Linked DNA regions of Styela clava. The protein of the gene in region 1 interacts with the protein of each later gene in a pairwise test. Links are inferred from orthologs where the notes say so. Each region holds a gene or a part of one and is shown in the gene's direction. Other genes may lie near its edges.

The links.
Region 2: the proteins of proteasome assembly chaperone 1-like (region 1) and proteasome assembly chaperone 2-like interact in binary tests that used the Homo sapiens proteins (3 or more experiments, as listed by UniProt). The link is inferred for Styela clava from reciprocal best matches to the Homo sapiens genes PSMG1 and PSMG2.

What each region holds. Positions count from the first base shown.
Region 1 is NC_135259.1:12,682,186-12,698,749, reverse strand, and holds proteasome assembly chaperone 1-like, read left to right. Parts: upstream 1-11,327; coding exon 11,328-11,548; intron 11,549-11,881; coding exon 11,882-11,970; intron 11,971-12,117; coding exon 12,118-12,231; intron 12,232-12,862; coding exon 12,863-12,963; intron 12,964-13,127; coding exon 13,128-13,323; intron 13,324-13,972; coding exon 13,973-14,106; intron 14,107-14,703; coding exon 14,704-14,778; 3' UTR 14,779-15,108; downstream 15,109-16,564. Other genes in the region: serine palmitoyltransferase 1-like, read left to right, coding at 570-767, 1,288-1,480, 1,933-1,987, 2,152-2,266, 2,708-2,884; modulator of smoothened protein-like, read left to right, coding at 7,703-8,224. UniProt on the Homo sapiens protein: Chaperone protein which promotes assembly of the 20S proteasome as part of a heterodimer with PSMG2.
Region 2 is NC_135261.1:18,496,205-18,511,621, forward strand, and holds proteasome assembly chaperone 2-like, read left to right. Parts: upstream 1-7,927; 5' UTR 7,928-8,025; coding exon 8,026-8,802; 3' UTR 8,803-9,426; downstream 9,427-15,417. Other genes in the region: neurochondrin-like, read left to right, coding at 9,435-11,164, 11,243-11,471; uncharacterized protein LOC120329396, read right to left, coding at 12,478-13,315, 13,659-13,681. UniProt on the Homo sapiens protein: Chaperone protein which promotes assembly of the 20S proteasome as part of a heterodimer with PSMG1.

The sequences.
Region 1 (16,564 bases):
TTTAGTTGTGAATGTTATTATATTTATTTTTTATCCATGTGATAGTGGCAAATACTAATATAATAAACGCATTTGGAGAGAATTGTTCCTGTTCAAGTTTCGAATTGGATTAAGCGCTTATCCCATTTCTACAAATCTTAACATAGATTTCCCTTTTAAGATCCATGCTGTTATTTTTTATGGTACTTCCCATCATATTGTGTGAAAAAAATGTAGAATATATTCTGCTATGAAAATTTTTTTTGGAGTAAAAAACACATTTTGTCCTCCACATTCAGCTATTTGTTATTTTATTGTTTACTGTGGACACATGAAAATTTTACATAATACGGTGATACTGATATTTTATATAATTATCATAATTCCCCAATAATGATTGTTAAAGATTTTTCCAAATGTGTGCCTTTATATAGTGATAATGTAGATTCAAAGCAAAATTTTGATAAGCTGTCTCAGATGTGCTTACATATTGGTTAGAATTGCAAAAAGAAAGAGGCTTACCAAACCAAAATCTTGATCACTAAACATTAATTTCAAAATCATATAAATAAAATAATTACTTTATCAAGGAACCCAAACGTGCATCTGTCACTCGAAAATTCATCGTTGTGGAAGGAATATATGCAAACACTGGAAACATCTGTCCTTTGCCTAAGCTTATTGAACTTAAGTATCGATATAAAGTTCGACTTTTTATTGAAGAAACATTTTCATTCGGTGTACTTGGAGAACATGGACGTGGAGTGACAGAACATTTCAATATACCGGTATGTAGGGGTAGTTTATAGTACATTTTTATTTAAAGTTCAAATTTATGGATATAAAGGATTAAGATTTAATATATAAACGAAAAATCTGTTCAGTAGGTAGAATGTTTTATATACCAGATTGTTCTTTCAATTATTTGTAACAATATTAGCATTTCGAACAACCAAAAATCCATACCAGAGGTTGAATAATAATCGGCCAGTCTAAAACCTTATTGTGGACCCTTATAAGGATCATCTATGAACTTTGCGCGAAGCAGAATTATATTAAGTGCTCATTTCCTTAGCTTATCATCTATTATGAATTAATTTACGAGGGGACAATAACTTCATAGTTGGCGAGTCGCACCTAACAGTGTCGACATTGCAAGTTGAAGATCTTGGTTGCAAACTCCATGGGGTGGAAACCCCATGAAATTGACGATTAACTAAACAATCTTGTCAAGAGTTCCAATCTGCAGAATGATTTAGAATATTGAATTCATATGAAATAAGAAAATTTTCATTTACTTTCTTTAAGATTGAAAAAGTAGATCTCGTTGCTGGAAGTCTGGAATACTCTCTTGCTTCTATCGGAGGATTTTGTGCTGGACGTACCTATGTTATCGATCATCAGAGATTATCAGGACAAGGATATGTGTTTTCTGCTTCTCTTCCTCCGCTTCTTTCTTGTGCTGCTATTGAAGCTCTCGATATCATGGAAGAAGACACAAGTGAGAATTGTTTCTTAGGCTGATGTTACAAAAATCTTGAGTTGTTATAAATTTAATTTTGGATAAATTTTTTCTTGTTTTATTCTGATTTAAAATCTTCAATACTACCAGTATACTTTTTTCTGATTCTATTTTGTGAATAAAAATTCTACCTAATCTTGAGTTCATCAGTATTTTCCGAGACTATAGAATATTGGTTATTAGGGTGTAACTCCAATGCTAAGTTATAATTAATAATCTTTTTAAAAGACTGGCTGTTGAAGATACTAGATTCTGTTTTTATTTCAACTATAGAATATCGAATTTGTTTCATAATTAGTTGTTAATTAAGTATTACACTATTCTATAGACAAATTCCTGATGAAGCGCATTTTCATTCAAGACATTCAAAATTACATCAAAAGGCTGTAGTAACATAATTAATGTGTTTTATACCAATTTTAACATTTTAGGTAGATTCTCAATTCTGAGAAAAAATGGAAGTTTTATGCAACAAATGTTAAGCAAGTAAGTATATTTACATGCCATATTTTTTCACGGAATTTGTTCAATTTCGTAGAATGTTTTCATATTGTTCTTGATGACTTTAAATGGTCTTAATATTATAAAGCGCGAAATTGGCTAGGTATAGGAAAAGGTTTGAATTTTAATGGCAGTTTTCCTTCCCACAGCATTCCAAGCCTTGAAGTCGTGGGAAATCCTGAATCACCAGTTTTTCATCTCCATTGCAAGTTATTTAAAGATCGTAAACGTGAGGAAAAGTACTTGGAAAGTTTAGTCGATATGGTATGTATCACTTTGATTAGTGCTTTTCTTAATTCATTTCATTATAATCACAATATGGTTTAGAATGCTAATGTATCACAAAAATTTTTAATTTCGAATACCGTATTCCAAGGACCAGAAGTCAATTGGGTTATAAGGCGCATTGTCAATAAATTGCTTAAATTGAGGTTTCATCAATATATTTTTAAGGAGTATAGGGTTATCGTACAGATATCATTAAACAAAAAACATCTTTTATGGTTATTGTATTTTATTCATACTGGTACTGGTTTACAGTGTAAGTAATAAAGTATGAAGCATTACCTGATCTATCCATTAGGCGCACAATCAATTTTTAAGGGAGGCGCCTGAAAGTGCGCCTCATGGTCCGTATACGGTAGACTAATTCATAAGATTTTCTGTGTTGACAAATTCATTCACAAAAGCTAACTTGTTTACCAGTGCATGAAAGAAGGAGTTGCTCTCACTCTCGCTGCAAGATTAGAACAAGAAGAACTGCTCCAAGATCAATCTCCCTCAATTAGAGTGTGTGTCTCATCGGAAATGTCAGAAGATGAACTTAGACAAGCAGCAAATATCATTGAAAAAGCTGCAGCCAAGTTAGAAAGCGATCGGTAAAATTGAAGAATTTGTGCAAGATTGGTTTGTAATCCAAACTTTGAATGTGTGTTGGGAGTTTTGAATTTTAAAGTATTTTCATGATCCATGTTGTAGTCGTAGCAAGTTTATTTAGTTATTTCAATGAAGGGTATATTGTTTGCTATAAAGTCATGTTTCAATAATTACAATCACTACTTGTCAGTGCTCAAAGTTAACAACAGGCTTCTTCTCTACTGATGTAAATAGACCAAAACCAGGTCTCAATTCACAGTTGCGTCCATTCTGTCTATATATAATATTTATAATTTTGAAATGTTTGTAGCTTTTCTAGTGTTATGATACACATTATTTATTCTAGACTTTCATATTGAATTTGCTGCATCTAGTTTTGGCTTCATATTGCTTTTTTTCCTATTTGCTTTAGCTTAGATATATCGATGTTCTAAATTTACAGAAAAATAAAACCTAACAAGTAACAATTGATATTGAAGCTATTAATAGCAAGAATTTATGCAGCTGGCATGGTCACAAGTTGTGTGGACCACCATGGGATTCGAATCCACGAACACACATTGGGTAATCATCGCGGCTGTGGTCAATCCTCAACATGATGTAGGCTACCATCACATAGATCAGGGATATCCAACTCGCGGGCCGCAATTTTGGCTTAGTTAGCCAGTTAGTTACATTGTGCGATATTAAAGCTACCAGTTGACATTAAACAGTTGTGCAATGGAAACCAAAAGCAAGTTTTGAACTAGTTGAAGAGAAAAATAGCTGACTTTATTTTTTCTTTTGATTATTTACGCCAATGTATATGCATTTTTCATAAAAGGTCAGTTAAATTTCCTGGTCTTTGCGTGCATCTTGTGTTCAGAAATTCGCAAAATTGCTGTGCAATGCAGGCGTTTGATTCAGCGACGCTCAAATTCTAACGTAAATCGGAATTGGGTTGCTATTTAAGTTTGGTAAAAACGTTGCGGCACGCAATGAATTTCCCCACGTGAAAGTGGCCCGCGACACCAAAAAGGTAGGACATGCCTGACATACATTATAGAATATAGAGGACTTGCACGGGTCACGTGACTTTGTTACTGGACGGCAATAAAACAAAAACGTCCATTTGGCTTCTGTCAGTTGCAAGTCGGGTTATACGTTTCCGTTTTTTTATTCATAAAAAGAACAGTCACTTAGCAAAGATTTCAATTTTCTTTTTTTGAGATTCGACGGTCAATTTCTGTCTTGTTTACCGTCATATCTGGCAACTCTGGTTAGAGATATCAGTGATTTGTTCAGTTGATTTTGATTCATTTTCCAGGCATTTGTGGCCATTTTGTGCTATCAATTGCCGGACTATGAGAGGTTCTGGTGCTGAGGCCAGCCCACACTCGTAGGATGCCAGCCCACACTCGTGAGACGCTAGCCCACACTCGTTTTTGACAGGCCATACTAGGGGTAACTGGGCCGTGCTTGGTATTGCATTTGATCTGTGTATATCACATATGGTCTCTATATTGTCATAGCCACCAAGTTTTTATGTAATAACGTTTATAAAGTGGTAAAATAGTTGGTTAACCTCTTGACGTCAGGCTGAGCGAGTGTGGGCTGGGGTAACTTTGGTCTATTGGCAGAACTGCTTGGTGTCAAGTCCAGAAGCCATCTTACTTGTGTTTCACTGTTTGCGGACAGCACTTCGTTGATAGCGAGTGATAGTGTGCCGTTATCAATTTTTTTTAAATATTCACAAACTCCCTCATTTCAATGGAAAGCAGATGACAAACTACTGTTATTAGTAGGCCTAGGCGTGGGCCTACTTGCAGTTGCAGACTTGACTTGTGTAAGACAGTAAGGAATTAATAATCAATTGCTATAAGGTATTGTTTCCCTAATTAGCAGGTAATCTATTACTAAGTGTGAAAGGTTGAATAGATAACTAAAGTTTAACACCAGTGGTCATGCAAAAAATAACCAGAATTCAATTGAATTCGCCATCTAGGAATACGCTCGCCACCGCCTCTCTGATCACCCTGGTAGTTTCACAGGTTTCAATCCCATGCGGGGATAGTTATGTGCGAGAGGATTGCGGCTCTACTGGTGGTTCACATGACCGCTGATCGGTTACGACCATTCCCCACCATCCAAGTCCATGCTTCTGAAAACAAATAACTGCCTCTAAATGCATATTACGTGTTTCACATGAATCCATCGTGCTCAGATTCGACTGTTTTCAAGGCCTTATTTTATGGGTACACAAGAGAATTTCCAGTGTGGCATGCATGGGTCAGTTGGAGTCACTAACCTCAAGATATCTATAAGCAAGGATAAGATAACCTGGAAGTAACATTCCATAATTTAGAGTAAAAAATGTATCTGCCTCCACAGCCCTTTCAAATGGGCGATATGATGCCTCGGGGGTAATTTATATCAAATATTTTACAGTATAATGGTTCTAGTGAAAAGAGGTGTAGGCGGTTTTTTTTAAAGTGTGGTAGGTCCAGTCGAAAGACACATTAAATGTTTATGCTAACAACTGCAAATTAATATTGCAACGCATACAAGTTGACAGAATTTGTTGAAATGGTCCTGCCTTTTGCCTTTCTTCAAAATCCCCCTTTTTCTAACTATTCTCTTCCTCTCTGGGGATGGCGAAAATTCAAATATGGATGGGACATATAAGCAGCTGATAATGGGTTATCTTCCCTTTTTCCTGAAAATAAATTAAACACTAATCATCATTTGACAGTGCCAAGTTTGTGTATCAGATCAGTAATAAATTACCTGCTAACTAACAAAACAATCAGACAACACCTTCTGACCATTAAATGAAGATTTCTTTCAATTTAAAACGCAACAATGCCTACCAATGTGGGTAGTTTTTAGGATAGAATTTATCTGTGGTTGAGGACAGATTGCAAGGTGCAACATCGTACGATTACCATTTTATGTCGGGATTAGTTAGCCAGTTATTTGTTTTAGAAGCATGGACTTGATGGTGGGGGATGTAGTAATCCACCCTCAGTGGGAGGAGAGCTGCAATCCCTTCGCACATAACTATCCCCGCATGGGATTGGAACCTGTGAAACTCCCGGGGGGATCAGAGATGCGGTGGCGAGCGTATTCCTAGATGGAGAATTCAATTGAATTCTGGTTATTTTTTGCATTAGCACTGGCGTTAAACTTTAGTTATCTATTCAACTTTTCACACTTACTAATAGATTACCTGCTACCTGGGAAACAATACCTTATGGCAATTATTGATTAATACCTTACACGAGTCAAGCCTGCAAGTAGGCCTACGCCTACCAACAACAGTAGTTTGTCATCTGCTTTCCATTAAAATGAGGGAGCTAGCTTTTGAATATTCAAAAAAAATTGATAACGGCACATTATGACTTACCATCAACGAAGTGCTGTCCGCAAACAGTGAAACACAAGTGAGATGGCTTCTGGACTTGACACCAAGCAGTCCTGCTAATAGATGATATCCACATTGCGCGACGTTCCGTATCTTTTGAAAACAGTGAAATATAACTGAAGATCCATTTCGTTGTCTATACTATACGTACAGCCAGCGGAACAATACGAAATAACCATTTTCAACAGCCAAACAAAACGGAAACGTATAATCCGACTTGCAACTGACAGGAGCCAAATGGACGTTTTTGTTTTATTGCCGTCCAGTAAACAAGGTCACGTGACCCGTGCAAGTCCTCTATAGATGGAGTTAAAAACTACTGGACTCCATAATTTCAAAAAAATACATATTTTTGAAAATAAATGAACACTTACTTTATTTAATATGGGATAATAATAAGTCTTCATCGTCCTGTTAAATTTAGAGATTGATGGGAAACTAAAAAATGACATTTTTCAATCCGGAGCTGAAAGGACTCTGGCCGTAAATAAATACCAAGCAATCAGGCTACATGCATGCATTTCAATGGCCGTGAAGTACAAGGCTCAGTTGTGGAGTTTGCCCGGCGCCGCGCAGTGTTTTTATTTTATCAACGATCGTTGAATGTTTTTTATATAATGTGATATTGAATGTTCAACCTAAAATACAGTCTGACAGTAGGGGACTTATAATACCTGTATGTGAAATCAAAATTAAAACGCTGACGATAGCACGCGTTCAATAATATCGGCTGGCGGTATGCAAAGTGAGTATACAGGTAGGAGTTAACGTTATCGCTTACCCTTACTGCCTTATCAGTAACTGTAGACTACCGATGCCGCTCTGGTACCGGTACTGTTCTGTACGGTGTATGCGGTACCGTTATGGTTTATTGTAATCCTGGATTGCTGCATATTCTCACGTACGGACATATAGACATAAGCAGTTGTTCACATGTAGAATTAAGTTTTTACAGTTATTGAATCAAAGACCAGCCAACAGCTTAGCAACTGTGCAAGATAATATCGTAAAATCTGAAAATTGTAGATATAAATTATATACCGGTAATATACCTAGCAAGTCACACCATATTTGAGTCTAGTGAAGTAGGCTAAATGCCATAACTTAAATAGCCTAATGCCAAACAAAAATATGACATGAAACTAAATGTCGCGACTGCTTAAAAAAACGGCTAACAAAAATGTGATGTGAAAAAACAGCCAGAATTTTTATTTATTTATAAATTTATCGTTTATTTATGGTTATCGTTAAAGTCGTTATGGTGTCTCTGCGATTAGGTGCACTAAACCCCCATATTTTTAAGTATTCAGTTTTGTTATATATCTGTATAATACTGATATTATATATTTATACATATATATATATATATATATTTTCTTTTCATAAAAAAAATCTCAAGGTAGCTATTCCAGTATTCAATAATGGATAAGCTAACAATAATATCAGGAGTTTTATTTGTCACTGCTGAAGTTTTTGCTGTTGCAAGTCTTGGACACCCAGATTGGATTAATACGGGTGGACGGGCTGGTGATATTACGTTGGGTCTAACAATGCAATGTCAAACGATTTATGGCAGAAAACAATCTTGTTTTGCTCCAGATTTACCACCAGAATGGCTCGGGACTCGACTGTTTTTAGTAGCCGGAATTGTCTGTTTGGGGATAACATGTTTACTTGTTGTATCTTCACATTGGAAGCGTGATAGACTAATTTATGCAAGATGGATGGCGTTTATAGCAATTGGATGTTTATCATATGTTGGAATGTTATTTCCGATTGGGTTTCGACAAGTTACTGTTGGAGGTGAAGCTTTCAAATTGCCAGAATTATGGAGACTTGGGGATTCTTATAAATTGCTTTGGGTGTTTTCCATTATCTTGTCATGTTCCGGTTGGGGCATGTTGATGATGCCAATGAGATTATGGATGATGAATCGGAATTGATAAATATCATGAATTGTCATAAAAAATAATTAAATTAGTTTTTTGGTTTGTGATATGTGAATGATTTTTACTAAAATGTCTATTTTAAATCATGCGACATGATCCAAATGGCCACACCTATTTCTGTCTACATTTCCGTGTGGATGAAATTTCATCAATCATATTTTTTCATGAAAGTAAGCTCAAGGCACTGTGAGTAGCAACTGAGTGAGCAACCTTCTATGCAGGGATGGCCATTTCCGAATACTAAACTATTCCGAATACATTCTAAAATAATGTTTTCGAATCTGGAATTCCGAATACATTCTAAAATCGAAAATAACACATTTTTGTTTTAGTTGATTAAAACCCAGTAAATTAGAAAATAAGCTTCAATAGAAATATCAGAATAAAGCCACAAACCAACAGTATATGTACACAAAGTTTATAGCTATCGATAAAAAATAATAGCAACTTGTGACACAGTCAGTTCATTAAAATTATTCATTTGTACAAATGACCATATGAAAAGATAGCCAAGAAGTTGACTGACGCTTTTTATCAGTGGTACCATGATATACGATAATAGTCAAGTCTATTGACAAAAATACTACATGTATTCAGATAATTGTGTATATTTTCTGAGAGTAATAAAATTTATTTGTAATACAGGCAACAACAATCAAAAATCCATTATGCCTTTAAAAATTCTAATATTTAAGCCTAGAGTATTCTAATACCTTTGTATATTTGTATAGTAATTTTTGTGAAACATATTGTTATTATGTGTAACATATTGCTGTGTTTGGAATTAGAAATAAATTAGTAGAGAATAGATGACCACCACTGCCAGCCGCGCAGCCAGGATTTTCGAAATCGGAAATTTCCATTGCCGCCTGTAACGCGCTCGTTAAAAGAGCCGTCTTTTCAGCGTATAATGATCATCCTGTTACGTAAAATATTCAATCCATGACAACTACGAGATTCTAAAATATCTTTATATATTAATTTAATGTGTCCAACGTAATAGTAAAACAATACTATTCGGTCCACGGCGATCTGTGACCTAAAATTACGAGATAAACTGCCTGATGTATTTAATTTTAATACGTGTTTTTGCAATCTTGCCAACTCGTTATCGCCGTAAGAAAAATCTTAAATAATTATATAAAATCCTGTTAAGTGTAGAGTATAATTCATTTCATACAATGAATATACATATAAAGTTCAGCAGTAAATTAAAAATTCATATTCATCGCCTCGATTATGCCACCTGTTAAAAGAGTCGACTTTTACAACAAATAATATAACAACGAATATATATTTTTCTGTTGTGCAAAGTGATGAATTCGTGACCGACACGGGCATATTTAAAATGTCTTGCTTTATTAATTTAATTGTCTTCAATTTAACCTGCGGTTGCGTCGACAAAATAAAATCCTCACCAGTCTTATTATATACCATTGCAATCCGCGGTCATAAAAATAAAAACGCGAGGTGAACTGCCCGATAAAATATTGTTTTGATCCGTATTTTGCGAATTCGGCAAATATTTAGATGTACTTGTTAACAGTGACTTCGCTCGATCGAAATGCTGCCACTCTGATTATTTTTAGATAAAACCGTTCGAAAAATCCATAAATATGCTGTAATATCTCAGAGTAAAATTTATTTCATCACAATAAAATTGATTGAATATACTTTAGATTAATTATATTATATACATCCTCACAACCCGGGAAAAAGTCGCGTTTCAAACCTTGTATCGTGTTAACACGAAAATATTCGACGGCAATTTGAGGTAATGGATAATCAGGCAAATCCCGCCCTCAATTAGTGACGATATGTTTCTAAACGCCGACCAAACATAATGTGTGCCAGAGGCCCACGAAATTTTGCAATTTTCACTGCCTAGAAAATCGTTTTTTAAATTTTTGCGGGCCTCAATAAAACTTATATTGTTTACGGTTTTATTTTCAGTATTTTAAATTGCCGCTTTTCAATCAAAAAGTTGCGTTGTCTTTAGAAACTCGCCGCCGATGAACGTATTTACCAGATTCACAATTCCGTGCGCCTACAAAAATAAAATAAATGTTATCGTTATCGTGGAACAAATTTGTAGAAAATTTTCGTTTTAGAGAAAATAACACAATCGTAAAGGCGTTTACGGGCCTAAATAACACGTTACGCTGATGAGTGATGAAATCAATCACGCGCAAGTTTCTATCGAGAATGTTTTTATTCAACGGAAACGTCTCGAAAGCGGCGTGGAAAATGTGTGACGTCACACAAATATCCGATATTCTTATGAACGTGAATTCCGATATTCGAATGACGAGATATTCGAATACTTAATTCGAATTGGCCATCCCTGCTTCTATGACATTTTTGATATGATTTAATGCTGTCGGACTCCTAAAATATATATTCCCAACTCTCATCATTGGCTCTCTCCGATTGGAAGAAGATTGGACTATTTTGTTGTCTTATTATTGATGGTATCACACTATGGCAAGCCCCGCCCTACGAGGCCTATCCACCATCACATGCTTGACTGATCAATTATCCTTGCCTAATTAAACTGTTTTTTTCAAGGTCTGCCATTCTATACAGTTTAAATGTCCTGATTTTGATATCATTATGCTTTTATACATTTATATTGTCTTTGTATGTTTTGGTATTGACTACCAGGTTTTTGTTTATTTTTTCTATTATTAACACCGAATTGTAAATCATAAGTTACATTCGCAGTATTTTTTTTAACAATATTCAGTTTCTTATGTAGTCCTATATACTAGCAGTGTTTGTATTATTTCTGTTTGAAAAATCTTGTCTATATTCAACATCATCTCAGTATAAGATTAATAAAGGTGCCCCTATTTAAATCTTACAATATGTAGATGTTTCTGCCATGCATTCTATTTGCATAATAATAAATCAGATTTGTGCACCCTAAATGCGCATAATATACAGAATTGTTGTTCGAATTTTGTTTTAATTACTGTTTTACTGTGCTCATATTCCAAGTCATCTCAAATACTTGATTTGTCCATAAATATGTATTAGGTCATAAAAATGTTTTTTCACATCATTTCTTTATCTCGAATGAAAATATTTTTGTTTGATGTCACAATATCCTGACACAGTAACTTCTAGCAGTATGCACATGTCCAGTATAATCATTGATTGCATTTTATGTTTTCCAACGTCCGTTGTATTTTCAATAGTATTGATATTACATACCGGTACTTATTGTTACAAAATGGCAACTTTTCATGGAGAAATATTACCAGTTATTTCAAGAGCTGTTGACGAGGAGGAAGAGGAGAATGCTTCTAAACCAAGGTTTGGTATTCTTCTGTTTCTATGTTAATGAACATCAAGACTGAAATTGGTTTATCTTGATTCAACTTATAAATCGCTGAATGTCGGTAATTTTTGACTTGTTACCATTAAAATTGTTCTTGGTCGCTGCAAGAAAACTTGTTAATTATGAGGTTGTGTAATAGCTTTTTATAGAGTTGTTTTTGTAATGTGATTTGTAATGTTCTGGGCAAAGTTTTAAATTAAGAACAAATGTATCAAAATAAAGGCATTGTGGAACAATTATCTAGATACATACAGTATATAATGTTTTCAATTGTTATCCCGTGATTGATTATTGATATTTTATTTTAGAGACTTGGTGTTGAAATGGTCTGCAGATCATGATCAGAAAGCATTAGAGTGTGATAATCTTATTATTGCTGCTGGAGAAGTCGCATGGAGTGAGTTATTTCATGTTTATTTTTTACGGACCTACCGTAGTTTTTATATATTTTATAATATAATATTATTGTACAAACTTTTACGATGTTAAATTTGTGATGTAATTCACTAGGCCTTTTGAAATATAAACTAACATTTCTCTTTAGGTTTTCTCAAAATATATTATGACCTGCAGAATTCTGACAAAGTAGTTGAAATCATTGAAAATTCAAAAGAGGACGATTGTATTTATGAAGCTATCTCAAAACAACCTAATATCGGTAAGTAACTCAAGAACACATTGCAATTTTATGATGGATATAAATTGTTGCAAATGTATGTTATCACTTCACCTAGAGGTCTCAATTTAATGAATCTGGTCATATTTATCCCATGGAGAGGAGAGACGATAGGACTGCTCAATCATATAGCATATGGCCATAATTATCTCCCACCCATTCGAGAGTGGTTGGCACAGGATTATCACACAGAGCAGCTTTCAGCATTCGCTTGATCACAATCATATTTGATACAGTGGAACTTCTAATGTATAAAATTATTGTTTACAGGAAAACTTGGCATATAGCATGATTTTGCATCTTTAAAACATTGATTTGGATATTCAGAAATGAGATAAAATACAGTAATTGGAGTATTCCAAACAACATGAATATAGATTCCATAACTGCATCTAATTAATGCGCTACTACTTCAAAGTATCTAATTTAATTATCTGACTGATTCAGTCGAGGAAATGATGATCATCCCAAGGGATGGTCTGTTTCGTCTCAAGGGGGTGTCTGCATCCAACATTGGTTTTGATGTTTTAAATTTTGATAGTTTTCAATATTTAAAACAGTATTGTCATTGTTTAACTTTCAGATAAAACAATACAATATACTTTAATTTCAGTGTCAACAATCTATGAAAAATTTAATAAACAAAAAAGGAATATTTTTGTATCCTGTAAGTCATATATTCCACCAGAACAAATTTGGCCATGGACAGCAAAGGTAATTAATTCTTAGGTTTTTTTGAAATTTTATTCGTTTGTATATGCATTACATAATCTGAGAATTACAGAATCTGACAATATTTTACTGAGAATCCAGAACTGTTTGGCAATATTTTTTGTTGTATTTTAATCTCACATTTCATCACTCTTTATCAATTTCAGTTCTTCAATATGGTCAAACCGTTAAAAGATGTGTTCGTCTTGTCATCTTCCACGATACATGAATATAAATGTGAAGACATGAATTCAATTAATACTCCGTTTGTAAGATCTCTATCCACAACAACAAAACCTAAGAATCATCCAGTATTTACTGTACTTGAACAACCAAATTTAATGAAAAGTATACCTGCTGCAAGTAAGCGTTTATTTTTTTGTTCATTCAAGCCCGATTCTGTCACAAGCGTGTTGTCTTTCATTCATGGTTGTAAAAATAATACATATTAAGTCACAGCTTGCAAAGATCTGAAAAGCCTCTTGGAAGAAAGGATTATTTGGAAGGTTATAGCTCGTTACGTGGATAACTTACTAGCTCGTATTTAGCAGTAACTGACGTTTCTTGTAGCTCCCAGGGAATACTTGTTTGTGGTAAAATGCTATGATTTCAAGACTTTATGAATGAAGCTAACAAAAATTAATACAATTTGTGGGTATAATGGTCAAGTAGTTAGTTGCCGGTCTGATTATATTGCCTTCATAGGCTTTTATCAATTAATGCCAGATTAATCTTTCAGTCTGATGTACAGAGTTGGGTACGTTATTGAGTACGTTAACTGAGAAATTTCCTTCCAAATCCAAGAATTCATTATGTCAAGTTCAGAGCCACAACCAATGTAAGGTTATTAAGGATGAAAATTCCCACAGTGATCAATCTATAATTACCTTATCTTAGCCTAGACCAGGGTGGTTCAAACCCAGGCCGCTTCATTATCTATGGCCCGCGTCACATTCTGAGAGTAATCAAAAAATTACACTTTTACACTTAATGCACTTTTCTTGTTTCACAGTCATCACCCACTGTCAGTTTCAAAATATTCCTGCAACTGCTTACATCTGTTATACTGAAAATAATCAACTAGATTCATTATCAATTCAAGCTTTTACTGAGCTGCTAGGAACACCTCAGTTTAAAATATCAGTAGTAAGTATAAGGCTAGTCACAATTTCATTTATGATATTGTAACATAAATACTCATGGTAGTTGTGGATTAGACTAGAATTTTGTGAATATATGGCCATCGGTGATTACTCCATGGAAGCCTCTCATTACTTTTTTCAGAGATTTTTTTCACTCTGTAGTATAGAGCAGTGTTTCTCAACCTATGGTTCACAGCTCAAAATTGAGCCGCCTGAAGTGAAGATTTTCCTGGGTTGCTTGTTTTTAAACCTAAAAGTTACTAATTTTACTTTGTTTTATATAAGTCCTTCAATTTTGCGACTATGAAAGTACTACATGCCCTTTAGTATTTGAGCATAGCCGTAGGCCGCAGGTTTTTATCAAATTTATTTAAAAAAAAATTTTGATCCCTTGAAAAAAAAGGTTGGAAACCACTGGTGTAGGGCTGTGCTATTACAATACTATTTTTGTTACTGGAGATTGCTGCTGTACAAGAAGTCTTTGACCACATCCATGCAATGAGGGTCTAAAAAAGGGACTATTTTAGTGACTGGACTATTTAATCATTGTTCCTCTTCATAGACTTATTCCAGTTAATTATTGTTACCATCATCTATTTAGAATCAGGAATCTGTAAAACAGAAAATATTCAATGCGGTCAAAAATAGTAATGTTGGAGTAGGTTTGTACACATGACGGAACATCTGATTGAAAGCAACCTGATTTGCCTGTTGCAACTCATGGACAACTCTTCAAAAAGGAGATAACAGACATCATATCTATATCACAAGCAGTGCCATAACTTCATTACATAATTTGTATTCTGCATTTTAGCCTCGCTGTTTTTACAGATATGATATGGTCTTGCTATGATAATCTCATCAATTGAGACGCTATATATTAGTTTTCAATAGTTGGTGATTATTTTTGCATCGATGAACATTGCACTACCTTGTCTCTATTTGCATGCAATATTCTATTTTTTAAGTTTGGATACATTGAGTATAAAATTCAAAATCAGACTTGCATACGACCAGTTATTTTTGAGAATCACTAGTCTGATAGAATGAAGTAACATTAGCAATGTGGCAAAGATACAAGTCCAGTAATAATCGTACATAAAGGTTACTATTCTACATTTATTCAGCTTCATAACTTCATGGATCCGAAACTTACCGTATATTTTTTTTATAATGTGCTACCATACTTCGATAGAAATGTGGGTGCACTACCATTTTTGCTTAAGATTTACATGTGATATTTCATTTAGATCTCCACTTGGTTATTTAGTGTTTCATGATAAAACGTGCACCGATCCCATTAATTATTACTTACCCTGGTTATGTTTCCCAGTCTTGACACTCACATTTTTCTCATATCTCTGTGATTATACTGGCGCTTATTTATTGTGTCAGAGCATGCTGGTTTAGGGTTACCATACGCTTTATTTTTTTCCTGACATCTCCGGGGTTTCAGTCGTCAACTTTGCGTCGGAGAGAAATGTTAAATAGTGTCAGGAATTTTTGAATATAGTGAATCCATACTACAAACCCTAGAGTTTTCATATATTGCGCATCCATCCAAGTAAGCGATTTTTTCAGAAGTTTATTTTCTCACCATACTAAATGCACACTTGATATACAAATTGTAACAAATAAATAAAAGGCATTTCAGGGTGAGGGGAGCCGCGAGAAACCAAATTTGGTTATCGAGCAGCGGCACCCATAACTGCTTTAGCTTCCACTCAACTGTTCTCTCCTAAGGCTTGAACTATATTTCCTGGAACTCAAATCCACTTGTATGCTCCAGCTTGAAAAAACCACCATGCTAGCATCCAACGCGCGAATGCTAATGACAAGGAAGAACTAATTACGATATACAAGATTATGATTCTTGCTGCCTCTCTGCATTGTCTTCAAACCTCCTCCCTGACACAAAACGCATTTTCGTGAGCAAAAATAGACGTGCCATTGTCTTCAAACCTCCCCTCTGACACAAAACGCATTTTCGTGAGCAATAATGGACTGCGAATATTTCCTGGTATTGTGTTGCTGTATTTCAATAGCCTCCGCTGAACCCTCGATTTCTTTTTTTACCTGATACAAAATTTATTTAAATGAATGTTTTCCGGAGTATCGAATTCCTTGTTAACAATGACCAATCAGCAATAAGTCAAAGGTGACGTAACAATGGTAATTTGTGCAGTCGCTCAAGTGTGGTCGTAAACACCGGCTCGATTTCGCAGTTTTGAGTGTTGTGTTTTTGAAAATAAGTTTTAAATTGAATAGTTTAATGTTCTCTGATGAGCTTTAGTTTAAATGCTATATTTGAAAAATAGTATCAAAAAAGCTGCGACAGACTTGGCTGAAATCAGCTGTCAGTACCTGTTAGCAGAACGTGGTTAAATATTTTATTAAAAATGGTGGTTTTGAACATGTGAACAAGTGTGTAAGAGTTCCCGCTCCAAAAAACTCCATATTCA
Region 2 (15,417 bases), on another chromosome or scaffold:
TATGCCCTACGAGCAGGTGTGTCAAAACAGAGCAGCAGATATGACCAATTTGTTTACACATTAATGATAAATAGAACTAAGCTATCGTTACGCCCGATCCAACACATCTACAAACAGTCAGCAAACTGGGCAATTACAGACGAAACCTTTCAATTTGTCACTGTGTCGTGCTACCGACAACAGTAAGCAAACTGGGTAATTACAGACGAAACCTTTCAATTTGTCATGATGTCGTGCTGCCGACAATACAGATCTGTAGAAGTCGTCAACGTGATGGTGACGGATGGAAAGAATTCACTCTTGCACGACGCTGAGGAAAATGAAAAAGTCTTAACTTTGCCAAGTGACTTTATTAGATACCTCCCCTCAATCCTCAAATATGTTCCGTTTATTTTATGGAATTAAGTTTTTTCTATAGTTGTTATCCCTGCTGTCATACGCGCTGCTCCCCGTGGCAATGTCCGAAATACATAAACAAGAATCCAATTTGTGAATAACATCGCTATTTGAACTAAAATGATAAAAAAAAGTAAGCATTCTTGCAAAGACATTCAAATTGCTAATTTTCATAAATTAATTATGTCCTAATGGTAGTGCCATTTTGCGTCATGTTTTCAATATATATATATATATATATATATATATATATATCTAATACGGTAGTTAAGTAGACATACCGCGCTAAAAAAGCGACAGTTATGTAGACGGAAAAATTGGGTAGACATTTTCCTGTCCGCTTAATTATTCCACGTTCCGTAATTAAAACGTTTTGCGATATTTTGATGAAATCTCTTTTTCTCTCCTAAAACAGTATTAAAAATAATATGTTCCTTTAATATTTTTCAAATATCTGCACATTTTCGCCAACTTTAAGGGGACAATGGTTCTGCTGGTTTATAATCAACGGGTTTAATTTTCGTACATAAAGTGGACATTTTGTTTATGCAAAAATCTTTTAATTTTTCGGTATATGTTTTTACGATTTTTGGAGAATAGGTTTGATAATTTTGATACAATAACCAGGCAGAACATGAAGATCGTCCGTTCTGTTTTTTACAATATAAGCTCAATAAACTGAAAAGGACCTCAATTCACAACTCCGTACTAAAGAGGCTTTGTGACGCAATAGTGAAACTGTCGGGTTCGCCGAGAACTTTACCACGTTTGCCGTTTTGTTCGCAAGTAACCTGGACGCCGTGAGGGGATTGGGATCTTCATGAGTGCGTGATTGCCGAAATTTAGATAAAATAGAACAGTTGTGTTTGGAGAAGCGATCCAAGTCTTTTGTGTCAGGTGTTATCAGTTACCCAGTGAGTTGAAGTCGAGTCATAATAAGCAAGGATTTCAACGTCACCGAGGAATGCTGCTGGAAATCATCACTCATCGGATAAGGTGATTAGTCATAACAATTTTTAATATCAGGGTTACTATATTTTTGGTGTTGAGATTTTTCACGTAATCCAGATTATCAAAATATAGACTACTGATACTGTTATGCTTTTACTGGTCGTAGTTCTGATCTGACCATCAAAATAATGCTACGACTGGGTTTGCGTTTGTAAGAGTGTGTAATTCAGAAGGATTCCAAATCCAGATGAAAATACAAACGAAGATTGTGAAAATTCAATGAATTCAATTTTTTGTCGAAAAAGAAGGATATACGAGAAGCGAGTGGTTGACGTTTGTATAGTTTGGTGTAAATAAAAATATCTAATACACCGCTCCATATTAGATTAAAATATTTCATCTTCGGAAAACAGTCTTGAAGAATTGCATTGCTAGCAATTTTGTTTTGTGATTTGGCACATATCCCTGAGTTATTTTACCATCCTCATCTAGTTATTTACTGGGCTGTATTTTTTGTTCACATTTAGGTGACTCTCCAACGAGATGGCCCACGTTTCAGAACTTGGCAGACGGAAATGCGGGTAGTGATTCGGAGAAAGCTGTGCCAGGAGGTGACTAAATGAGTTTGCTATGCTTGTTTTTTTTATTAAATACAGTATCGTAAATTGATACCAATGAATGGTAATAAACCAAATCATAATATCATTTGTAGCCCATCACAAATAGCGCAGCTATCTACGAATAATTGTAGTGCACCTTTTAGAAACTCTGGTTTATTTGAGTAATAATGCAATTATCCATTTCAAACATTTCGTTTGTTCGATCAATCAAGAGTAGCGTAATTCTGAATTGGACTAAAACACTGTGATGATGTTTTGTGACTTATGCATGTATTTTTGACCAAAGTTTCAGATAAGTCAACAGACTATACCGCACCATCTTCAGAATCACTTTCAATAAGCAATGTAAGTGATTTCAAATAAAACCATATATATGGAAAAGAAAAAGGCTGTAAATCAATTAAAAAAAAAGCTTTTAAACAAACGCGAACCAGAAAAGAAACGACGAAAAGAAAAATATTTGCACGGATTGGTATATCTTGCGAGAATTTTATTGTAAAGCTTTAAGACATCTCTGTATAATTCATAAAGATGAACCGGCAGTGAGCATAATCTTGTCTCTCCTCAACAACTTAACCTAGTGGGCATATCCACATTCGTATACATACTTGGCATACATTTTTACTATTTAATTATAAATTCAAAATAACAATCATGTTTTTGTATTCCGAGTTGGTGCAAAAATTTTAAATAAATTGTGCAAAGATTCTAAATTGATATTGAGGTTCAATAATTTCATTTTGATCGCTTGTATAGTTGACTGTATAATCAATCACTGCTATAATTAGGCGCCCTGATAGGTAGACATTTGAGTTATAATTGGTGTGATGCTTTTCATTTTAATTGACATGGCAAAATTTCGTTTAGCGTTTATAGGCCCCACTGAAAAGTCACTTAATTGAACATTTGAGATATGTTGTGTATAATGTTTCTCGATATTTTATTCAGAATTTCGTGTTTTAATTATATACCCTCTGAAATGGTCGGATGCTTGAAATTTTTTTTGAATGCTTCTCAATATTATTGCCATTCCAAAATATCATTTTGCATTTACATGACACACTTACGTAGCTGAGTAAGTTACGATTTGCGATTTATTTTCTGTTTTGTTTTTCAATATGGTTTCAAAATTTTGTTTTATAATATTTGTCACTCTCAAGTTATCAGATAGGTGAACATTAGAGATAAATTTTGAGCAATTTTCCACAACATCAAAATATGATTAGTATTCGAAATTTCGTATTTCAGGTAAATTTCACACACTTAAGTGTGTGAGATATATTTTGTGTAAGATTTCTCAATACGATTCCAGAATTTTGTTTCAATAGTTGTATGCCACACTTAGGTGGTCGGATATTCGGACATTTGAGATATATATTTTGTGTAATGTTTCTCAATATTATTTCAGAATTTTCATTTCAATTTTTGTATGCCCCACTTAGGTGGTCCGATAGGTGGACATTTGAGATATACTTTGTGTAATGTTTCTCAATATGATTTCCGAGTTTTCATTGTGATTGTTTTATGCCACACTTAGGTGGTCAGATAGGTGGACATTTGAGATATACTTTGTGTAATGTTTCTCAATATGATTTCAGAATTTTCATTTCAATTCTTGTATGCCACACTTAGGTGGTCGGATAGGTGGACATTTGAGATATATATTTTGTGTAATGTTTCTCAATATGATTTCAGAGTTTTCATTGTGATTGTTTTATGCCACACTTAGGTGGTCGGATAGGTGGACATTTGAGATATACTTTGTGTAATGTTTCTCAATATGATTTCAGAATTTTCATTTCAATTCTTGTATGCCACACTTAGGTGGCCCGATAGGTGGACATTTGAGATATATTTTTTGTAATGTTTCTCAATATGATTTCAGAATTTTCATTTTAATTCTTGAAAGCCACAATTAGGTGGCCGGATAGGTGGACATTTGAGATATACATTGTGTAATGTTTCTCATTACGATTTCGGAATTTTCATTTTAATGTTTCATGCCACACTTAGGTGGCCGGATAGGTGGACATTTGAGATATACTTTGTGTAATGTTTCTCAATAAGATTTCAAGAGTTTTCATTTTGATTGTTTTATGCCACACTTAGGTGGTCGGATAGGTGGACATTTGAGATATACTTTGTGTAATGTTTCTCAATATGATTTCAGAATTTTCATTTTAATGTTTAATGCCACACTTAGGTGGCCGGATAGGTGGACATTTGAGATATATTTTGTATGACGTTTCTCAATACGATTTAAGAATTTTCATTTTAATGTTCAATGCCACACTTAGGTGGCCGGATAGGTGGACATTTGAGATATACTTTGTGTAATGTTCCTCAATATGATTTCAGAATTTTCATTTCAATTCTTGTACGCCACACTTAGGTGGCCGAATAGGTGGACATTTGAGATATACTTTGTGTAATGTTTCTCAATATGATTTCAGAATTTTCATTTCAATTCTTGTACGCCACACTTAGGTGGCCGGATAGGTGGACATTTGAGATATATTTTGTGAGATGTTTCTCAATATGATTTAAGAATTTTTTTTTCAATTGTTGTATGCCACCCTTAGGTGGTCGGATAAGTTGACATTTGAGATATATTTTGTGTAATGTTTATCAATATTATTGGAATGTCATAATTTTGACTTGGTATTGATATCTTGACACTCACAACATAGCATCTGTTTAATCCATATGTTACACCATAGGGTTGGAATAGGCGAACATTTGTGATATGCTCTGTGTATTTCTCAGTTTCAAATATATAACACGTTTGGATCAATTTGTTTCGATTTGTATACCTTCACGTTGCATTTTGAGTATTTTTTGATATCGAAGAATATTTCCAAAACCAAACACAGTGCATCTCCCATGCACGAAAGACGGAACATTGAAAAAGAAATGCTATTTTTTGTGATAAATATTGCTAAATCGTTCGAATCCATCGGAAATTGAAGCGAGGTCATACGCTTTGAAATGCGTATTAAAATAAAAGCAACATCATTTATGTAGACATCCAGAGCGACATATAAGAGGGGTCCGGCTTAGTGCCGAAATAGGCTAAAACATTTGGTGGTCTGAATTAAGTGGACGAATTAAGCGGACAAAAATTTTATATCTGTTTTCGAGAGGATTATGTTGACTCTTTTTCTCCCTAGTTGTCAACGGCTCTCGCGCTCTCCAAGCACGTATTTAAAAACATTGATACGGACACAGGAACGACGTCCGCTTAAGTACTGCAATTACGGCAGGTCCGTTTAACTACCGTAATAGAGTTATATATATATATATATATATATATAATAAAAAAATGTATAGTTGAAGTGTTAAGCAGAAGACCCTGAGTCTCTAATTATTATCGAGTCACGGGTCAAACTTTGACTACAAAATCTAGACCAGGGGTGGGCAATTTACGGAGAGTTTTTGACCAGCCTGCTGACTGTACAACACTCTGTAATGTGGTCCGACGCATCATTCGTGAAAGTTGCCGATCGCTCTACTCTCACCGCACTGTCAGTGCGAGCTGGTGAAATAAACAATTGCCTTAGTGAACAAACAATTGCGTTAGCACACTTGTTAAACAAGCAATATAAGGTCAGAGCAGAAAGCGTCGTAAACATTCCCCACTACTGTTATCAGTTATATTTGAAACCTAAATATAAAAAGATTTTAGAAATTAGATTTTATATTAAGTTTTATTAACCATGGATTATCCCAAGAAACGTGAAGTTGACAGAGAGTGTCGAGCATTTAACAAAAATTGGATATCGAAGTATTTTTTGTAATAATCCGGTCCGCTGAGGGCTTTATTTTTTCACATCTGGCCCGCCGACTAGAGAAGTTGCCCACCCCTGATCTAGACGATTCAAAAGTCAAATATTTTAGTTTGCTTAGTTCTGGACAAGGCATTTCGTCTGGAATACTAGACTAGGGTCACCATATTTGAAAAAGCAAAATTCCGGACAGTGCATGACTATTTTCATGACCTCGTAGTAAAAATTAGGCGCACGGTACGAAATAAAAATGTTCCTTATTAGCAGTGTGCACAGTAGGATTGCAGATGCCGTAAAATTCCGGATTCCGGACATTTGAGCATTTTTTAAATTTTTCCCGGAGACAAAATTTAACCCTAAATTCCGGACATGTCCGGAATTTTCCGGACGGTATGGCAACCTGTACCTAAAGTCACTATATCCGTATAAAATGTGAGCCGATGCCTTCAGTATTTTTGCTTGACGTCATGAGAGTGCTTACTCTTATGCATCAAAAACATCTACCTCCGCACCCGAGTTGTCGGGCAGATCACCATTTTTTGTTATATTTGAGTATTTTCGCTATTTTCAATGCCAGTTGTCTTTCAATATCTCTGATAGTGTCAAAAGAGCGCTATGCTTAAATATATGGGCACGTTTGAAATAAATGAAAGTAATAGCCTTCTAAAGAAAAATTTTATCTTTACCAACTGAAAATTTCGGAGCAATTGATCAAGTAATCAAAGAGAAAGGGGACTTTTTAGGTTTTTCACTAGGTGTCCAACGTGTCAAAGAACAAGGATAAAACAACAACAACATAATATTGAAACGATCGTTATGTCCACTAACGTGTCCAATCGACGGGCAAGCACGACACAACTACAAATCTGGCCAAAGAAATTTGTAGGCCTACAATAGCCTAAAAAGTAAAAACACTTCATCTTGGTGAACGAGAAATTAATACCGGTTTTCAGAAACGCCTACTGGTTCTATTGCTGCCGGAATATTGATGAGTAATCACATTCAAAGAAAATGTGATTGATGTTCTCAACGGATGCACTGTTCGAATCTACTAAATTAAAGCTATATAAAATATTCAGGACGAATGCCCTACAAAATAGTATATTGTTGAAAAACTTGGGTTTGTCTCAATATAGTACAAAAATAAACATTGGTACAATATTTATTCCAATTATTAATGGAATGTTCATTTAAATAAGTCGTCTACTCTTTTGACTTTTATTGGTGAAATAAATTGTTTTTCGTTATATTTCTTCGTTCAGTTATAAAAGAATCTATATCAAAATTATGAAAATTTTGCAGCCATTCATGTGTGATACATCCTTTTATAGTATTCGGTGTATTCCGATGCCCTGCCATAGTGTTCACGCAAATCAAAACAAGCCAATCGTTATCATTAACTATGTTCAACGACTATCGGAACAATTCAACACCTTCATTATACTATGATTGAATAAAAAGGCTTTCTTCTATAAACTATTTCCCTATTTTGTAGTAGTGGTTGGTTAGCGAAAATTTCACTATACAAATTTTGACATGCAAAGTTAGGTTTCTCATCTTTCAAAACGCAAAGTTTTAGGATACTTACGCTACCAATTGACATCAATTAGCGTCCAGATATTGTTCCAAATTTTGATAACGTTTCGAACAGAGCATTTAAACTTTTTTGACATCTTTTCCATGAACACAGTACCATCATCTGCTAACATTGTCAATTTGAATAGTGGCTTTTGTACGTAATTCCATTGTTTCTAGTGTTTTCGCTAATCATGGTAGCAACAACTTCAGCGCACAATAAAAACAATTAAAAAAATAATTTTTGTACTTAATTCCATTAATTCTAGTGTTTCCGCTAATCATGGCAGCAACAACTTCAAGGCAAAATAAAAACAACTAAAAAAATAATTTCGAAGACATTGGATTTTCTTGTTCTTTGACGAAATTTTTTGACAAATAAAAACAAGTTATTACTAATGACACAATTTCTGGAATCCTCGTACATTACTTTTATCCTACTTTTTTACTTTACTTTTTTTGGATATTTTTTTTTGAAGCCGAAATGTTTAAAAATATAGGCATACGGCGAATGGCCCGTCATATGCTCTGCGAATATCCCTGGAATGTCCAGAATATTTTTAGGAATTTAGCGCCGCATGTGAGCAAATAAATTTAGGGGATTTACCTAACATGCTCCTTCATAAGTTCACGTTTCACGCGCGTTTTGTTTGCGCTAATTAAAGCAGCGAAAATTAAGTATATTAGGCCGGGCCTAGATGGAATTCTTCGCTTTATTAAACGAGGAAATAAATTTTGAGAATTACACACTGGTAGTACCAGCAGTTTCAGTGGGAAATGTGGGCCAACTTGCATGTGATCTTCTGATTAACACCTTGGAACTAAATAAAGTGGGATATTTACGAACTTCATGTGTTCTTCCAGTGGTCGGATCTAATGCCTTCTGCAAAGACGACTCGGATAATTCACTCACATTGACTCTTGAACTATTTATTGACGACAGCAAGAAGTTGGCAGTTTCACAGCAGCGAGCTCCACTTGTTGCAGGAAAGCAGAAACAATATTCTACAGATTTTGTATCATGGATAAATTCCAAAGGATTTTCTGAAGTTATTTTGCTGACAAGTTGTCATGCATACGAAAGAACAGATAATGAAATACGAAATTCACCTGTGCGTTTTTTGGTTCATCCAGATGACAAGAAAAACAAGAGAGAATTGACAGATAAAAAATTCTTAGAACTTCAGAAACGATTAATGGATTCTGGTGACAAAAACTATTTTTTTCCTGGTGGAGGATTTGCGAAAAATTTCCATGACGAATGTGTGACTTCTGAACCAAATTTCTTTTCAGTAATTTTGATGATATTTTGCTCGGAAGGAGACAATATACCAGAGGCTGTCTTATTAGCTAATGCATTAAATTCATGGAAAAATTATAGGAAAATTAGTGAAGACAATGGGAAAACTGTTTGGTCTTTCCCAGCATCTTGGAAGCATCTATATGGTGCAAGACAACCTTTGTCAATATTCTGAAATTGTCCGTTTTTATGTTCTAAATGCAGAAATGTCACTTCATTCCAGCTTATTGAAAATGCTGTAAATTGTTACTTTTAACATTCTTTCAGTCTTAGATGCATGTAATCAAATAGAAAAAATGTTATAGTAGTATGAAATAATAATGACCAAATCATAATGTCTAATAGGCTATTTGAACTTGAATGCTCAATAGCTAGATACAATAGTATACTTTATTTTCTTGTTCGTAATATTGAAAAAATACCTGGAAATATGTCAAGAGTAAACAAAACTTAGAAGCCATATTTTTAATACAATCAATTCAAACCAAGTTTAATTAAGTCCCATTGTCAATTCACAATCATATCAATACTTGTGGTTATAATAGAAATACAATCGGATTTTGCTATAAAATATGAATTCCTTGGACTGTATCTGTTATTTTGGTTCGCTGCCAATGTTAAAACTATTGTCTGTGTCATGAAGAAGTTTGTCAAACATTTAGAATTAAGTTTTTGCAACTTTCTAATGATTGCAATTTGTATTAGAATGTCTTTTATCATGGCCTAAAAAAATAAGAAATTTGATTTGCATTTCATATTTAATCAAGTTACATATTCTTATTGTTGCTACATTTTTAGAGTATAATCATGTCAGAAGATATAATTGAAATCTCTAATGAGAAGTTTTTAGGAATATTATCTATGGTTGAAAAAGCAAAGTCTGATAATGAGAGATTTGCTGCCTTGCTTGTTGTGTCAAAATTAACGAGAGGAGGATCTATTTTGCCAGAAAACAGAAAGGAATTGTTAAAAGCTATTGGAATTCAATTTCCATTGCGTCTTGTCAAGACTGCATGCTCACAAACAACAGAAGAAAACAAATTTAGTTTTGTTTCGATCGGGATGTCAATTTTGTGGTCATTTTGTGCTGATGTTGAGTTTTTTAGAGATGAAGGCCTGGAAGCTATTGTACCACATCTTCTTAAAGTTGTTAAATTGTTTTCCAACGAAGAGAAATATGAATCTGTAATTGAAGATTGTATGGATTGTCTCATTGCTCTTACATATTTTGATGACTGCATCTCTGAGATCATTGAAAGTGATGCTTTTAATACATTGTGTCTATGTGAAAAGCAGTCTGACAAAAGCCATCACTTTATTTCTATGCTGTTATCAAAGCAACCCCATCTTTGGCAAAACAAACAGTTTCAAAAATGGTTCAAATCACTTGCAAATGTTTTCAAGATAGACCAAACAAATAAAAAATTCACTATTTGCACTCACCTGTTCCAAATTTTAACTGCATATTCTAGCGAACATTTGCTTGGATATCATGAAGCCATAACGGACATCATGTGTGGCCTTGAAGATGTTTTGTGTAGTAAACTTAACACCGAGCAAAGGAAGTCACCGATACAACTTGCCAGTGAAATTTTTCGCTTGTTTGGTATTTCTTGGTTCACAATGAATTCGAAAAAGACAAATTTTATTGTTATCGTGACAAGACTGTCATGCATTGAGATTGGACTGTTTTTAAGAAACATTTCTAATGACATAGAGTCAAACTTTTCTGAAAATCTATCGGTCATCATGTCTTGCTTCTTCATATCGGAAGCATTTTGCTCAGCAGTTGCCAAGTTTGAACAAAATGATAGTGAGAAGGATGATATTCTATCTTTTGAGCAAATTCGACTCACTCAACCAGCATTGGCTGATTTAGCCAACAGTGTGTCTATTTTTATTTCATCTTATTCAGTTGATGATGAAACAGGCATCCCAGATACAGAATTATTGAATTTATTACTTCCTATTTGTATTCGCTTTCTAGGGTCATGGCTTAACATTGAGAACAATGTAACTTCAGCTCAAGGCAATGAAACACTTCCAATACTGAAGCAGGTTTTGAAATATATCGTAAAGCATGAAAACTTGTTATTGCTAGAATGCACCTTGCCTGCAGTGATGCAAGCAGCAAGTGCTATGAGCACCCATGACACTATAATTAAAAATGGTATTTTGCAATCCCTCATCTGCGTTATTGATTTAATTGAGAAAAAATTACACTACCCAGGAAAAATGGATAATTTAGTTACTTTTCATATTGTGTTACAAAGCCTAATAAGTGTTTGTTCTACAATGACTAATGTTGAATGTCAAGACTATCACAACGACTTGAGTAAAATATTTTCTATAATGACAATATTAGTACAAAAGCCATTGTCAATTCAAACATTTGGGTACGTATACCCACTCTCGTCAATTTTATTGAACAAATCATCATGCTCCATATCTGATGACATTTTATGTAAAATATTCAAGTTTCTTTTTGATGCATATGAGGTATCTCCAACTGATGGTCACCCAAAAGTCAGTCCCAAGTAAGTAATATTTCATTGCATTTATAATTATAACATATTCATTTGAATGATTGTCTCATGTTGAAACTCTGTTTACAGTTACCAAGAATCTTGGCAAGAAATTTGCCCTTTGTGGAAACTCTGTGCGGAAGAAATCACATCCTATATTGCCAGTACACCTGAAGTCAAAAAGAAATTGATTGGATGTGAACATAGAGTGTTCTTACGCAACTTATTTGATGCTGCATCTGCTGGGAAAGATGAAGAACTAACAAATATCTTTTTCAATCTTTTAGAAGTTTTGAAACTGAACACATTTGTACAATAGGTTCTTAATAAATTGTCATACTTTGGTATCTACCGACTGTTTTGGAGTTCATTCCAGTTCACACAGGCGGCTTTGCGGTCTTGCATGTATAACACTCAGAAAATCACTGATCATATTCATTTTGGGTAACAAAAGCTGATAAAACAACGAAACACAGCACCCCTCCTAAAGTTCATCCATGACTTACTTATATGCACTAATATACCTAACAATAATACAACTATTTGACGATTTTGAAATTGTACCTCCAGGGGCAAACTTAATACTTGTTTTATTGATACATTTAGTAAATATAATCATAACCTTTCAGAAGCGAGAGTGGTTGAATTGGCCCATTATAATAAGAGGCTCACGGATCAGATTTTTTGGTTTCATTGTTCAAATCCATGTATCTCATAACTCAGGGGCCGAGTGCGCTATGTCATTATGCAGTCTTGGGGACTACATAGTTTTAGGCGTTTGCTGAATCTCGGATTCATTGGATGAGTAATGCTCTACAGGAACCAGATATCAAAAGCTCAACAGCTGAAAGCGACTGCTTTTAGAAATTTCAACGGCCTTCATATTAATTTGGAAAGGGACAGCAAAATAGGGTTTCACCATACTTGTGCAATGCCCCAACTTTATAATAAGCAGCTATTGTTTTTTGGCCATTAAATAGACGGCTCCACTACATTTTTCAGTAAGACACAGATAATAATGCAATATATCTTCATGAATTTATATATTTTTAAGTTGTGTATAACGGATATGATGAAGACAAGATATGCATTATGGTACAAGACAGTAATGTAACGTTTTTAAAGACTAATCTGGTACGTAGACACACAGATAAAGAAAAACTATCGTAGAAGAAGAAACTTATTGCATTTTAGAAGTTATATACAATCTATATGAACTTTAGGCAAAGGTGGCTGTTTCTTTTGTCAATATTTGTACCTTACTTATTAATACATTTGTGTATAAGTAAATAAATTCAGCAAAAAGCAGTAGATGAGTGACATGCCTACACATGCTGGGGGTCTTGAAAGGTGGGTTTACTATCGACATCATTAGTTGCTCCTCCAGGCATTTGTGATTGGTTTACAGAACCAATATTTTGGGGAAGCACTCCAATTACCTGACGACCTTGAACCAAGTAGATTGGTTCCATTGGTTGTGGCACGGGTGGAGTAGAAAACTGCATTCCGACAGCAGGTGTCGAAGACGGGCCAGAACTATTGGCATACATCACAGGTTGACTTTGTAGTGGTTGGTAACCTTTATTAACATATTGCTTTATCTTGGGATATGCTTCCTTTCCATTGCAGCAAACAGCGTGACAGGCAAATCCAAATTTCACCCATGAGATAATGAATACTATGAAAGACAGCAGAGTGATGCAGCCATCCAAAATGCGTAAAGTCCACGGATATGAGTATTTATCTGGTCCGGTCCGGTCTGAATCAGTTTGTGACATGACACTTATCATAATGCTGCAGGTGGCAATCCAGGCGGTTACAACTGACATGATCATCAAGGTAACTATAAAACATGTTGTTTTACGCCTTGATGAAAACAATCCAATCACTCCACTGGCGATATAAGCAAGTCCAGACCAAATTCCAGCTGATTGATATGTGCTTTCATAGTCACATCGTCTCTGGTAATCATTCCAATAGCATGTTTGGAGAAGGGCAAAAGTGAGGATGGCTGCACCAACACCAAACGACAGAATGCCCAGAACAATCACGGCTATGCTCAAACCACGAACTGATTTTGATTGAAATTTGCGCAACGTGCCATTTTGTTCCACGCTTGGTTCAGTCAAAGGTTGCATTGTCCTTTCAAATTTTCTCCAATACCTTGAAAAAATAATATTAAAACTATAATGCTTGTATTACATTTTCCTAGAAGAAAAAAGCAAGACTTAAAATCAATTAAATTACTCAGTAAAAAGAAATATATAAAAACAAATAAAAAAAATGAACAAATGCTTTTACCACACCAAATTAATAATTTTATGAGGATTGCCAAATTGGATACCGAACTAGTTAACAAGAGTTAAATACTGTGGATAGAAAAATACTTCCTCAAGAGGTATCGTCAAGCTGATTATAATTGGAATCACCTAATGCCAAATTTGTCATCAATATATTCGGTCTGACAGAAGCAAATCAACAATAAAGATACAAGCTATTTCATTACCTGCATGAACATGTATCCATCATTCAATTTCCATTTCATTTGTTATAGGCAAATATAGTAGTTTAAAACATATTAATATTATGATACATGGTCAATATTTATAATTCAATCGAACAAATTTATTTTCATTAGGAATCGCTTGAGAACAAGGTCAGAAAATGTACCCCGCACAGACATATTTATTATAGGCTTCCATATTCCTACCACTGCAGGCGCACGCCGTGCAACTTATGCCCCAGACTCGATCCTGTGGCAGGTGCACGTCCTGACTTTAGTGCCTCTCGAAAATGCATGCGAGGAAAATCCATTTTGCATAGCGGGAAATTTGTGATTACTCATCAGTCACCCTTATATCTGACAGTATTACTGTATTAGGTGGGAAAGCTGGAATTGGACAGCTGCAAATAAACAGCGCTAACACGTTCTAACATCACAAACTGACTGATTACAGAAAACACGCACTTTCGGCTTCCACGAATATGCCAAAATCCAGTCCGAATACCAACTAGCGTAAATCAGCTATAAATCATAAATGGGCCCCTTTCTATTTCATGAAACGCGAGGCCTTTTTGTTATTGTCTAGGCGCGGCGGTGTGGCTCAACGGGCTAAGCGTTAGGAATACGCTCGCCACCGCACCTCTAATTACTCTGCGTGGGTTCGCAGGTTCGAATCCCATGCAGGGATGGTTATGTGCGAGAGGATTGCTGGACTCCTCGCCGTCGTTGGGTGGTTCACGTAACCGCTGGTCGGTTACGGCTCCGGGCTTCCTCCACCACCAAGTCCATGCTTCCGAAAACAAACAATACAGTAAAACTAATCCCATACCCGACTTGGAATGGTAACCGGACGAGAGGCCATGGTTCGCCATATGGATAAGCCGTCTTATCGGCTTTCCTCTCCCCGGGATAAATATGTAAATCCTATCCTATTATTACTTTTGATTGCTACAGTACCGGTACCGGTACCGTACGCTGTACGGAAACGTGCCGCACCAGCGTCCACCCACCACTGTAGCATAGGCTAGGATTTACATATTTATCCCGGGGGAGAGGAAACCCGTTAGGACGGCTTAATCATATGGCAAACCACGGCCTCTCGTCGGGAGGCGGACAACTCGACTACACGGACAACTCACCAGAGACAACTCGACTACCTAGAGGCCTGGTGAGTTGTCCGTCTTTTGGCATTTTCTACGGTGGTGTTTTAGGTCTATAGAAATGCGTTTTTGATATTTTTAGTGCTCAAATGTTGAGAAAAATACATAAATATGCTCTTGAGTCTGCGTTTTGCAAAGCAATGTCTTCTCCTCGAGCATCGATATCGCAGAGCGATTGCTCGACTGGTGAGTTGTCTGCCTCTCGTTGCTCGGTAGTCGAGTTGTCTTCACCTCGAGCATCGATGACGTCACTTTGCCGTGGTGACTTGGCTTACAACTAATATCAGTCGGCACTAAGTAAATGCTATGCAACTCTTGAGTCTGCGTTTTGCAAAGCAATGTCTTCTCCCCGAGCATCGATATTGCAGAGCGATTGCTCGACTGGTGAGTTGTCTGCCTCTCGTTGCTCGGTAGTCGAGTTGTCTTCACCTCGAGCATCGATGACGTCATGTCGCAGAGCGTTTGCTCGACTGGTGAGTTGACGGCCTGTCGGGCGACTGCCGTAGGCGAGTTTAGACTATTGCAACCATAGACTACTGAGCTTACATGCATAAATTTTTAAGTGTTACTGTGAAGTATAAAGATTTTAATATATTTAAAGG